3 linked regions of the Danio rerio genome follow. The protein of the gene in region 1 interacts with the protein of each later gene in a pairwise test. Links are inferred from orthologs where the notes say so. Each region holds a gene or a part of one and is shown in the gene's direction. Other genes may lie near its edges. The genes, in order: daxx, park7 and tcf7l2.

What was found.
Region 2: the proteins of daxx (region 1) and park7 interact in binary tests that used the Homo sapiens proteins (3 or more experiments, as listed by UniProt). The link is inferred for Danio rerio from reciprocal best matches to the Homo sapiens genes DAXX and PARK7.
Region 3: the proteins of daxx (region 1) and tcf7l2 interact in binary tests that used the Homo sapiens proteins (3 or more experiments, as listed by UniProt). The link is inferred for Danio rerio from reciprocal best matches to the Homo sapiens genes DAXX and TCF7L2.

What each region holds. Positions count from the first base shown.
Region 1 is NC_133194.1:8,074,059-8,077,714, reverse strand, and holds part of daxx (death domain-associated protein 6), read left to right. Parts: intron 1-1,518; coding exon 1,519-1,688; intron 1,689-2,834; coding exon 2,835-3,000; intron 3,001-3,080; coding exon 3,081-3,633; intron 3,634-3,656. UniProt on the Homo sapiens protein: Transcription corepressor known to repress transcriptional potential of several sumoylated transcription factors. Down-regulates basal and activated transcription.
Region 2 is NC_133186.1:43,783,205-43,786,860, forward strand, and holds part of park7 (Parkinson disease protein 7 homolog), read left to right. Parts: intron 1-791; coding exon 792-851; intron 852-1,115; coding exon 1,116-1,185; intron 1,186-3,656. UniProt on the Homo sapiens protein: Multifunctional protein with controversial molecular function which plays an important role in cell protection against oxidative stress and cell death acting as oxidative stress sensor and redox-sensitive chaperone and protease.
Region 3 is NC_133187.1:32,995,427-32,999,687, reverse strand, and holds the start of tcf7l2 (transcription factor 7-like 2), read left to right. Parts: upstream 1-1,438; 5' UTR 1,439-1,737; coding exon 1,738-1,926; intron 1,927-2,072; coding exon 2,073-2,139; intron 2,140-2,301; coding exon 2,302-2,426; intron 2,427-4,261. UniProt on the Homo sapiens protein: Participates in the Wnt signaling pathway and modulates MYC expression by binding to its promoter in a sequence-specific manner. Acts as a repressor in the absence of CTNNB1, and as activator in its presence.

The sequences.
Region 1 (3,656 bases):
GCATGTGTATTTTATTTGACTTTTTATCAGATGAATGTGAGAAGGAGTGATAATAATATGAAAAATAGCACAGGGTTTCAAAGACGGTGGCCCCCATTTTATATTCATGCATACACTTAAAAACATGTATGTATAGTGTTTGATATTGATAAAAAATCAATAAATATCATTTCTTAAATATTTAAAATGGTACAATCTTTTTGTACCAACCAACTTTTGGTTGGTTTTGATACCAGCAGGGAAATGAATAATTAATAATAAGACTTTTAACACTTTTGTTTTAAGCAGAATATTAAATGAGATTGTGCTAATTTTGTTGTTTTATATATTTTATATATAGGACTGCTGAGAAAACTTGATATGTGCATAACATGGTTTAGTATTGTTTTTTTTTTGTTGTTTTTTTTACTATGCTGCACAATATTGGAAAAATTACACTTTGATATATTTTGCGATATTAATACTATTTCACTAGATGAGTTGAATAAATGTTTGTAAAGAATCTATAATTTTAGTTTGATTGCAAATGTTCTGTAGGGGAGTGCATAAAATATAATAAACAGTCTACAAGAATGGATAAATTCAATAAAGAAAAATATGCTAATAAATAAACCTTGTTTTATTGTTTTCCGAAGAGTCAAAATATATTCAGGTTAATGGAGAATGAATAATCAAATCTAAAAATATTACTGCATAGTCTTAGTTTTATAAACAGTTAGATCGTTATTGTAATCGTTTTTTATTTTTCAAGGTTACAAACAATACAATTTTTTAGGCCTGAATGCTTTTAAAACCCTCACACAGTCACAGTCCTTAAAAAACACTTGCAAAATGATCAATTATAATCCAGACTCAACATTGCATATCCTGCGATGTGACTATTGCGAACGATCACATTGTGATATCGATGGTTAAACAATATATTGTTACTTCATTTGGATACTTTTAATTTTGCAGAATTTGTTCTCCGCTGTTTCAAATATTGATATTTTTCAAGGTATCGTATCGATGTCGGAAATTCCATTAATGTGGCAACACTAATGTATAAATATTGGTAGATTCAAAATAGTTCAATTAAGTTATTAAATACATGTTAGTAAAGCTAGGAAAAATATGCAGGCAAAGTGTATTAAATGTTTCATTATTTTTATCTTTTCTTTGGTTAATTTTAAAGGCATAAAAATTTAAATTATTAGACTGTGGTCGCTTTAAGACTTTATACATTGATTATGTCTCCTGAATTGCTTCAACTTTAGATTCAAATAATTTTTTTCACATGAATACTAACCAAATTGCCATTTTAATACATAAACCTGTATTTTATGGTCACTCAAGTGTTTGACCGTTTAAATATATATTTTTTATATAGAAAAATGTATTTAGAAAATATTTTACAGCTTTTGAGAATCAATCTCAAATCAACCTCCTATTAAAAATTATTAGTATAAAAATATATATTTTTCAGTTCATCAGTCTGCAGATGGAGTGCAGTTGGTCATGCAATGTGTGTTTCTCCAGCATTAGACCCTGCACTCATGGACCCAGCACTGCATCGTAAACTCCGCTCTAATAGAGACGTGGCCATCAGCAGCCTGGAGGAGGTCATCAACAAATACGCCAATAAACAGGAGGATATGGAAGTGGAGGAAACCAAGAAAAGACAAGACAGAGAAAGACTGAAAAAAGAGGTAAACGAATGAAGCATTTCTTGTTGTTCATATATCCAAAAATCTACAGAAGATTATAAATGTTCATATTTACATTTCTTAGTTTAGTAGACATATTTATCCAAAGCGACTTACTAATGAGGATGAAAAAAACACTTAGCAATGTATAGATGCCATGACAATTCTTAGTTTAGTTTATAGTTATTATTGAGTCCTAGTAATAAAGCTTTTGTAGAAAAGTGTCTGGTGCATATGGAGAGAAAAAGAGTGTCTGCTCCTACAGGTGGTTTGTCAAGCCCACTCAACTGCATGAAACATACTCAGAATTGCACAATGTTTTCCCAGAAACATGGAGTGTTGACAAGAAAGTGTCAAGTGCAAATAAATAGGGAGCTGTTTGCAAAGGGTTTGTGAAAATTCCATCAAGATGGACTATTAAGGGTTAAGGTCCCTGTGTTTTTTTATTTATTTTTATTTTGAGACCCTTTGTGATGGTAGCACAGAGCGAAATTCGGTATCTTAGCTCAGAGTCTTACTGTTAAGAAGATTAACTTGTTTAGTATTACTATTCAGGGGTGCTTTTCCCAAAACCATCATTAGCAAACTAAGTTTGCAAGTTCCGTCGTTACAAACATAGTTCGTTGATTTGCCCTTTTCCAAATCCATCGCTCCAACAAACATTCGCATACTTGAGCACATGAAACTACACCTCTGGAGCTGTAGTTAAAAAACATAGTTCTTGGCTGTTTTCTATTTCCATTTATCCCCCTATGCCCTATTAATTTAGAACATTCTAAAATTCAAAGTTGGAATGTTTAAAAATAAAAAAGTTTTACATGATTACAGTTGTGCTCCCGTTGCAGTGCACTTTAGTGTATATAAATATATATATAAATATAACTTTTATTCTCTCTATTAAAAAACAATTTTAAAAAATCTAATTCAAACTATTTACAAAGTTCTATTTCTTTGAAAAAATTAATTATTGTAATAATTTATAAGTAAAAAATATTTTTAATGAATCAACTATTTTATTATTCATTAAAAAAAAACGTAAAATATTTTACTAAATCCTGTTTCTGTATTTCCAAGACAGTCAAGCTTATTTTATTCATATGCAAGTCTGAAACCACACACTAATATAAATCTTTCCTATTTTTTGTACAGGCTGTTAATGGGCAACAGAGTGAAAGCAAAGAAAAAGAAAAGGAGGAGCAAGAAGAAAAAGAGAAGGAAGATGAAGAAGAAGAGGAGGAAGACGAAGAAGAGGACGATTCTTCAGATCCTGACATTGAAGACGAAATCCAGGCCAGCGAACAACAAGCTGGTCCAGGTAAGAAGTGAACAAATCATCTCCAAAAGCTAGAAATCACCTCATTTCACTGAGTTAACCCTGATTTCTCCCAATTTCAGAAGATGATGAAGAAGATGTGGAAGAGGAGCCTGCTAACATCAGTGACAACGATCAGCCAATCAATGAAAGCTCTCCTCTGTCAATCAAATCCTCTGTTCAGGACACAGAAGAGGATGAGGAGCAGTCTCCGCTCAGCAGCACACATGAAGGATCTGCAGAAACAAATACAAACACGAACGGACCTGCTAAACAGAGCCTCGAGTCCACAGAGATCAAGCCGGAGAGCATCAAGCCGGAGAGTATCAAGCCAGAGAGCATCAAGCCAGAGACCATCAAGCCGGAGAGCATCAAGCCAGAGAACACAGACTCTCTAGCTGAAGTCAAGACCGAACAGGTTTCCTCCAATCACGTTGAAGCTGTGTCTGCAAGCACTGAGACTGTGTCCATTGTATCCGAGGAGTCGTCCACAGCCGTCACGAGATCCGCCAACTGCAGTCCGCTGCTCCCAACCAGCCCTTTACTAATCGACGAGACGGGCAACTACAGGAAGAGGAAACGCAGATCCACAGAGAACCACACTTCTGCTCACAACGGGAACTGCACTGAGGACAGGTAAAACTCACTCCATCATATAA
Region 2 (3,656 bases), on another chromosome or scaffold:
AAGACTCTATACATTCACAGGCCTGTCATGATCTGTAACACCAACCTATGGGGAGGGACCCATATATATTTATATATTTTTAAATGTATATAAATATATATATATATATATATATATATATATATATATATATATATATATATATATATATATATATATATATATATATATATATTGAATAATCATAATTATAATTATGACCAAAATAAGCATTATTATAATTTTTCATATAATCGAGCAGCCCTACCTACTCCTGCTTTCATCTCTGAACTGATTTGGATTTAAAGAACGTTGAAAGTAAATAAATGGAGTATTGTCTCCATCTTCTGGCCAAGCAATGCATTGCCAATAAAATAAGCACTACTGCTTTACCACTGAAATTCATTAGGTATTCTTGCTTTATTAAAGGATCTTAATTTTAAATAAGAAAACCCTTACAATATTCATGAGACTCATATACATATGCAAAATGTCAAATATTCTGTGGGAGTTCAGTTTAAATTGAGTTGCTTTCATTTAATAAAACAAGAATTCCTAATGAAATCAATGGTAAACAGTATTTCTGCATATGCATAATATAAACAAAGCAAATGTTCATGATTGTTTTCTTCCTTGTTTATATACACATGCAGAATGTCAAATATTCTGAGGGAGTTCAGTTTTAATTGAGTTGCTTTCATTTAATAAAACAATATTTCCTAATGAATTTCAATGGTAAATAAGTATTCTAATCAGTATGTAACCAATATGGTTTTATGTCAGTTGTGCATGTCATTTTCTTTCCTAAACAGGGTCCATATGACGTTGTTCTTCTGCCTGGAGGTTTGCTTGGAGCCCAGAACCTTTCTGAGGTACAAATCTGTTTTAATTATGCATGTTTTACAGTAGAGTGAGTTCCATAGGAGAGCTCTTACGCCATTCGAGTCTTACATAAGGTTATGAGTGTTCCTCAAATCAACAGAAAACATCTTTGAGTCATCTGCCGAGGTTAGAAACACGGTCGCATTGTGAAACGCAAACATTGCGCAATTATGTAAATTGAAGCAGTGTTGTGACAGTTGTTTCTGTAGTGCGTCATATACATATAAGTGTGTGTGTGCATGTGTGTGTTGTAGTCTCCTGCTGTGAAAGAGGTGTTGAAGGACCAGGAGGGCAGGAAGGGTCTGATCGCTGCAATCTGTGCAGGTAATCTTCATTTGGTGACCTCTGTGCACACATTAACCTTTTCCTGGATAAACATCCACCATTTCAACTGCTCTATTAGGCATAATGTCAGGAAGACACGTCATATATTACCTTTTTGGTAACACTTTACTTGACGGGGTGTTCGTAAGACTGTCATGAAATCTTTCTAATTATGATGACACATGTTATGAATGAGTTTTTATGCATGCTTCTAACAACTGTCATTAATTGTCATTCGCTCAATTATGACATTTTGAATGCAAAGATGACATTATTTGTTATGACAATTTGACTAAAACAAATACAAAACAATCAGTCTTTATATTTGTCATGACAACTTGATATTACCTGCAGCTAGCTCTCTGCAACTCTCACATGGTCACCCATCATACCTGTCAACCCTTCCGTTTTTCCCGGGATTCTCCCGTATTTTACAGTTCTATCCTGCTATGATCCCGTAAAGGTATTTTCCCGTATTTCTCCCATATTTTCAGTCTTTCTCAGAGGGGTGGCAATTAAACATTAAAGAGTTGAGTCTCCCATACCTCCGAACCACCAGGGGCCGCCCCTTGCTCTTGAAGGCGAGTTCTGTGCTTTCGCTTTGTTTAGGTACGAAAACACTTTGAAATAAACATAAAAACGGCACGATTCCCTTCCTTTTCTTTACATGTGTCGTCTCCCCTTCATATACAATCCTCAAAACAGTCATAGCACTGCATGACTGTCAGCTGACGAGCTTCAAAGTGATAAATAGACGCTGTTTCCAAAACGAATTCTGTACTCGTGATTTGAAGCGGAGCAAAAGTCTGGGTTTTGGGTGCGTGTTTAAACAGATGTACACACATAATTAATAATAATAATAATATCTAAAGATGTTGATCTTGGTGGGGGTTTTTTCCCAAACACAAATAATTTCCTCCTAAATGAGCATTAACAGTTAGGAAAGCAGTCGACTGCCTTCATTATAATGTTAGATGTGTGCGTTTTTAAACTGACACCTGTTATTTAAAGTAATTAAACGAAAAAATCTAAATGAATCATTCATTTGTTAATTTTTTCTTTTTTTTCATTTGTAAATAATAAAACATTACTGACCATTTACCTGTTTATTTACAATGAAACAGCTCCAAATGAGCATAGTAATTTGGGGATTTTTTTGGGGTGATCAAAAAATATATATTTGGAGGAATCCCTTATTATGGTGGGCATATCCCTTATTTTCACATCCCAATGTTGACAGGTATGTCACCCATTGAAACTAAGCAGGGCTGCATTTGGTCATTACCTGCATGGGAGACCACATGGGAAAGCAAGGTTGCTTCCGGAAATGGTGTTAGTGAGACCAGCAGGGGCCGCCCAACCTGCGGTCTGTGTGGGTCCTAATGCCCCTGTATAGTGACGGAGACTCTGTACTGCTCAGTGAGTGCCGTTTTTCGGATGAGACATTAAAACGAGGTCCTGATTCTCCGTGGTTGTTAAAAATCCCAGGATGTCCTTCGAAAAAAGAAAAGAACTGATTAATATTTAATTATCCATGTGAGCAAAATTACATAAAATTCGTAGTAAACAGTTTGTTAAATATGATACGCAATAACTTTACACCTTGTTGTGGGCTGCATGTTTGGCCCTTTCATGTGTCAAGAACAATTTATTTAGTTTTACAGTAAGAGCGGATTTTCTTTATTATAGTACTCATAGTAGTAGTATAGTAACCCTTTTTTTAATCGGTGTAAAGAATAACTGGATGTTTACAAAAGCATTTTGATATTGGTAAAGGCATCTGAAACTTTTGTAAAGCGTCAAATCACTAGCATAATAAGTGTCAAAACATGTTTATGACTGTATAAATGTATTATTCAATCTTTTGAACACCATCTTATTTTTTTATTCCTCCATGAATTTCCCTGAGGGCTTTTAATATTTTTTCCCCCCACCGGGCCTTTGCCCTCAATGTTACCTGAACCATCTTTATGTCAGTGTGATGCTCACAGATGAGTGCGGATATGTAAAACTGAAATCTGAAATACAAATGAAAGGATAATGAGTTATAATAATTGGCAGCATTAAGCCTGTCCGTCTTCATTTGCAAGCGTATTGAACACTGAGGCGTGTGTATGTGTGTGTTATCAGCACTGGTGTTCAAGGGCTGGTGAAGGACGTGCTGAATGAGGACAGAGCCCATGTGGCCGCAGAGAGCAGAGGAGAGCGGAAAGCGTCCCAGAAAATGGCAGATGTCCCTATAGGGATCTGTACTGAACGGCAAATGGCTTCTTTTAGTGCTGTGGAATACCTTTAAAAAAAGTGTGTGTGTGTGTGTGTGTGTGTGTGAAGGTTTGGATTGCATGAGCATATCATCAAGAAAAAATTAGCTGAGGCAGTTTTTCATGAAAATCAAAAGTCCTTTGGCGTGCTTTGAAATATGCAGTTTTATTCGATGTTTGATGTAATCTCAACCGAAACAAAAAGAGAGG
Region 3 (4,261 bases), on another chromosome or scaffold:
TTATTAAAACTATTATGTTTAGAAATGTGTTGAAAAAAATCTTCTCTTCATGCAAAAATTGGGGAAAAAATAAACAGGGGGGCTAACAATTCTGACTTCATATGTAAATTATTTTTTTCTTCGGTGGATTGAATTATACATACTTTATTGAAATCTTCCTTAAAATGATGTTTCTTTATAATTCCACCAATGTAATTCAGTTAGGAAAAAATTAAACAAAGCTTTGTATTCACTTTGTCATTATGTTTAAAAAAATGTAAGGAAATGCTTTATTTAAATAAAATTTTGTAACCAAATATGTAGAATGAGGGAATGCTGTGAGACAGCAGGCTGATATAGGAAGTAATGACAAACACGCAGGGATGCCTTTGAAATATATTCAATTGTGGGGAGCTGGATACCATTTTTGTACTGCATTTTTGTTGAAAACCAAAAGCAACACAATAGAAGTGTAAAGAAATACAAATACTTTTGAGAAAAGAAACATGAGAAAATGGATATTCAACCCCAAACCCCACTGTCTTTATTCATAATGAATACAGGTTATGTGGCCTCAATTAGCCAGTCGCACTCCTCCTCCGTCTGTCTCGAAACCAACCCTTTTATAATGTATGTATGTATGTATGTGCATATATATATATATATATATATATATATATATATATATATATATATATATATATATATATATATATATATATATATAATAATGCATATAAAATCTTTTGTTTTTATGTGTAATCGTATTTTTGAGTTATAATTTCAATAATTATAAATATGTAATTGTATTTTTGTACATACACAAATTTTTATTGTGTAAAATAAAAGTCAGTGATAAAATACATTTCTGGCCAATATCAGTTTTTAAAAGATTATTATATCTGTACCATATTGCAGTGTGTTCTACAATTGATCTAATTTTAATTCAAGCTGTCTATGTAATTTAAGTTGTGATATAAAAAGCAATAAAATAATTTTGACAAGCATGTTTGATTTGGAGCTGAATTCAGCCTCTTCTGTTTTGAGCAGATGTTTGGAGAGAGTGTATTTATTTCAACCCACCAACAGCTCCTAAAACAACTGCGGAAAATAAGGAAGCCAATATGATTCTAGCTGTGCCGTTTCTCCGCTCAGATGCATGCAGACTATCGCACAAGTGTCTTCCGCCTATTTTTCCATTCATTCCTGTACAAAAGCAAACAGGGGCGACTCGCTTTAACTGTCCTGCTCTTCACCAAAAGCTCTTTTCCTCTCTCTCTTTCTCTCTCTCTCTCTCGCTCGCTCGCTCACTCACTCACTCTCTCTCTCTCGTTCAAGCCCTTTTCCCCCTCCAGTACTTTTTCCTGCCCCTCTCTATTTATGAAAACGTCACTTCAAGTCCCTCCCTGTTTGAATCTCATTAGATTTTTTTTCTTGTGTGTTTCTCCCTGTCAATAATCCCGAATCCAGACTCTCTCTATTTCCATCCCTCTCTATCTGTCAATCAGCGCCGCCTTTGAACTGAAAACCACTCCGACCAACTTCAACTCCCTCAATCCGAGCGCCTCAGCTCCGTCTCCGGCTTCTGTTTCTGCCAAGATTGCCCTCTTCTTTTTGAGTTTTGAACACTCACCCAGCCAAACGCCACTGCGAGTCCCTAAACTTAAAACTCGGGATTCGGGGATCACACCAAGATCAAGGGTTTAAAAACTTTTGGGTGTTTTTGGCCCCCCGCAAAATTAGCGCTCCTCGGGAAAAATGCCGCAGCTGAACGGTGGTGGAGGGGACGATCTGGGTGCGAACGATGAAATGATTTCCTTCAAAGACGAAGGCGAGCAGGAGGAAAAGATTTCGGAGAACTCCTCAGCAGAAAGGGATTTAGCAGATGTCAAGTCTTCTCTCGTAAACGAGTCGGAAACGAATCAAAACAGCTCTTCGGATTCCGAGGTAAGTGACAAATAAGCGCGAATCCGCGACTTGTCCACAAGTTTACATGCACTTTTTCCTGCTTAAACACGCTGCTAACTAGCTAACGTAACGATCTCCTCGCTGTGATTATTCAATGCATTCCCTGTGTTTCGTTGCATTTCAAGGCGGAAAGACGGCCTCCGCCTAGATCTGAAAGTTTCAGAGACAAAACAAGAGAAAGTTTAGAGGAGGGTGAGTGCTTCTTTTCTCTAAATCTCCTTCTTTTTGTTTTTGCACAGGACAACAACACGGTGCATCGGTTTCACTTTGCTTCTGCACATACGTAACTTACAAAGTTTTTTGGGAATGTAACTTAAACTAAAAGTTTTCCTCTTTTCCCCCCCGCCATGTTAGCTGCAAAAAGGCAAGATGGAGGGCTGTTCAAGAGCCCACCGTACCCGGGCTATCCATTTATAATGATTCCCGACCTCACGAGCCCGTACCTCCCGAACGGATCGCTTTCTCCGACCGCGCGCACAGTAAGTGTTTTTCACGTCTTTCTGCAGCCACATGCACGTAGCTAAAGCACCACGTCCATGTTTAGGGATTGCTTTGGTGGGCTGGTGAACTTCTGCCACACTTCACAGCCTGCACTACTGTACAGTGGCACGCCGTTCGCGCGGACACACTGGCCGAGCGCTGCCAGCCCGCGAGCGAGCGCGTGAACAGAGCCGCGCGAGCGGCGAGTGCAGTGGGACGCGCAATGTGCTTTCATGACGTGCACAAAAACACAGACACTGGAACTTTAATCTCTGCTCTTATTATTTCTTTTCGTTTTCCCCGACACTCTCTGGCAGGTTGCGGTTGTTTAAGAACATTTTTACGGCTGCTTCTTATTTTTTATCGTAATTGTTTATGTGCCTGAATAACTGCTAGACGTTATATCGTTTGCTTTAGACTAACGTTAGACGCCTAATTTTACAGTAGCGCAGATTACCTAATTTATTCAACTAAAATCTTAATGTACGTTTGAATTTATAATAACATTGTTATTACTATTATTAATGTTTTTGTCGTTATGATTTGTGCACTTGCAAAAAATAACATTCTTTTTATATCAAACCCTCAAAATAGAAAGCTTGAATTAATTTATAATGTAAGTATATTTTAAGTAAAATCAAAGTGGTGCCTTGCTTATTACTGCCTGTGCCTTTTTCTGCTACTTAAATTGAATTCCTTATGAACAAAATCGAGGTAGAAGTGACAGAAATTATTGTGACAGTTTAAATGGATGGAAACAAAGATGCTCTTATGACATGGCGATGAAAACATTTTTACAGTGTGCCACATAAAACGTCATTTATCTGAGCTAATTTATGAGTCATTTATCCCAGCTTAGCATAATGTCGCTCGTGTTATTTAAAGAATGCAATGCACATAAACATTATTGCCAAAGAGCATCATGGGAAATGTTTATGGTAATTAGTGGAAGTCATTCAATCAATTTGTGATCGTCAGAATGAAAGCACATTATTGCTCATACCACACTTGATTCCAGTGTAGTAAAATATTACTCAGTAGCGTCAGAAATATTTTAAAATGAACAATTATTTTGAGTTATATATTTGCATTTGTTTTCATGGCATGGACTTTGTGTTTAGTGCATGCAGCATGTGATAATTTCATTTGAATAATGTTTATATACAAATGTAAATACAAATGATGTTGTTTAGATTGGGTTTGGCTTTGCATAGTTATGCATATTTGTCCAGCACTTCTCTTGGCATCAGAATGAATTAGAGTTGATTGATTTAGTCATTTCCTTATTCAAAAAGACTAGTTTATGTGTTGTAAAAATGCTGTTTATGTGGAAATAATTTTTCAAGGATCAGGAAAATTGTACTGCTATTCCTGATTTCCCTAATCAGCTCCAGGCTTAATCTGAAACGTAAAGATGCGCTTTATGACAGTGACGTGATGTGCAACCTGAAGTGAGTTGAAATATCCTGCTGTGAAATTGTGGATTTAACTTCAGGTGTTTCATTTTATTACACTGTTTTTTAATATCAGAGACATTTTTTTGGTTTGTTGTTGAAACATCTGACTGTCGTGGAAATTGCACGCTTCCCAAAACATGCTGAATGTTTTTTTCACCTGCTGATCATTTCTGTGCTGATGCTCAACGTTTAAATATAAGTGCACAGAATAATAATGAACGCTTTAGTATAGCAAGTGCAAGGAAAATGATGGAAGGATTTGACACACAGCGTGTTTTGCTCGGTTGTGAATAATCTCAGAGATGCTTTTAATATGAGAGTTCTTCTACCTGCCGAGATGGAGCCTGCTCTAAATCGTTGGCTTATTCATTTAAGGC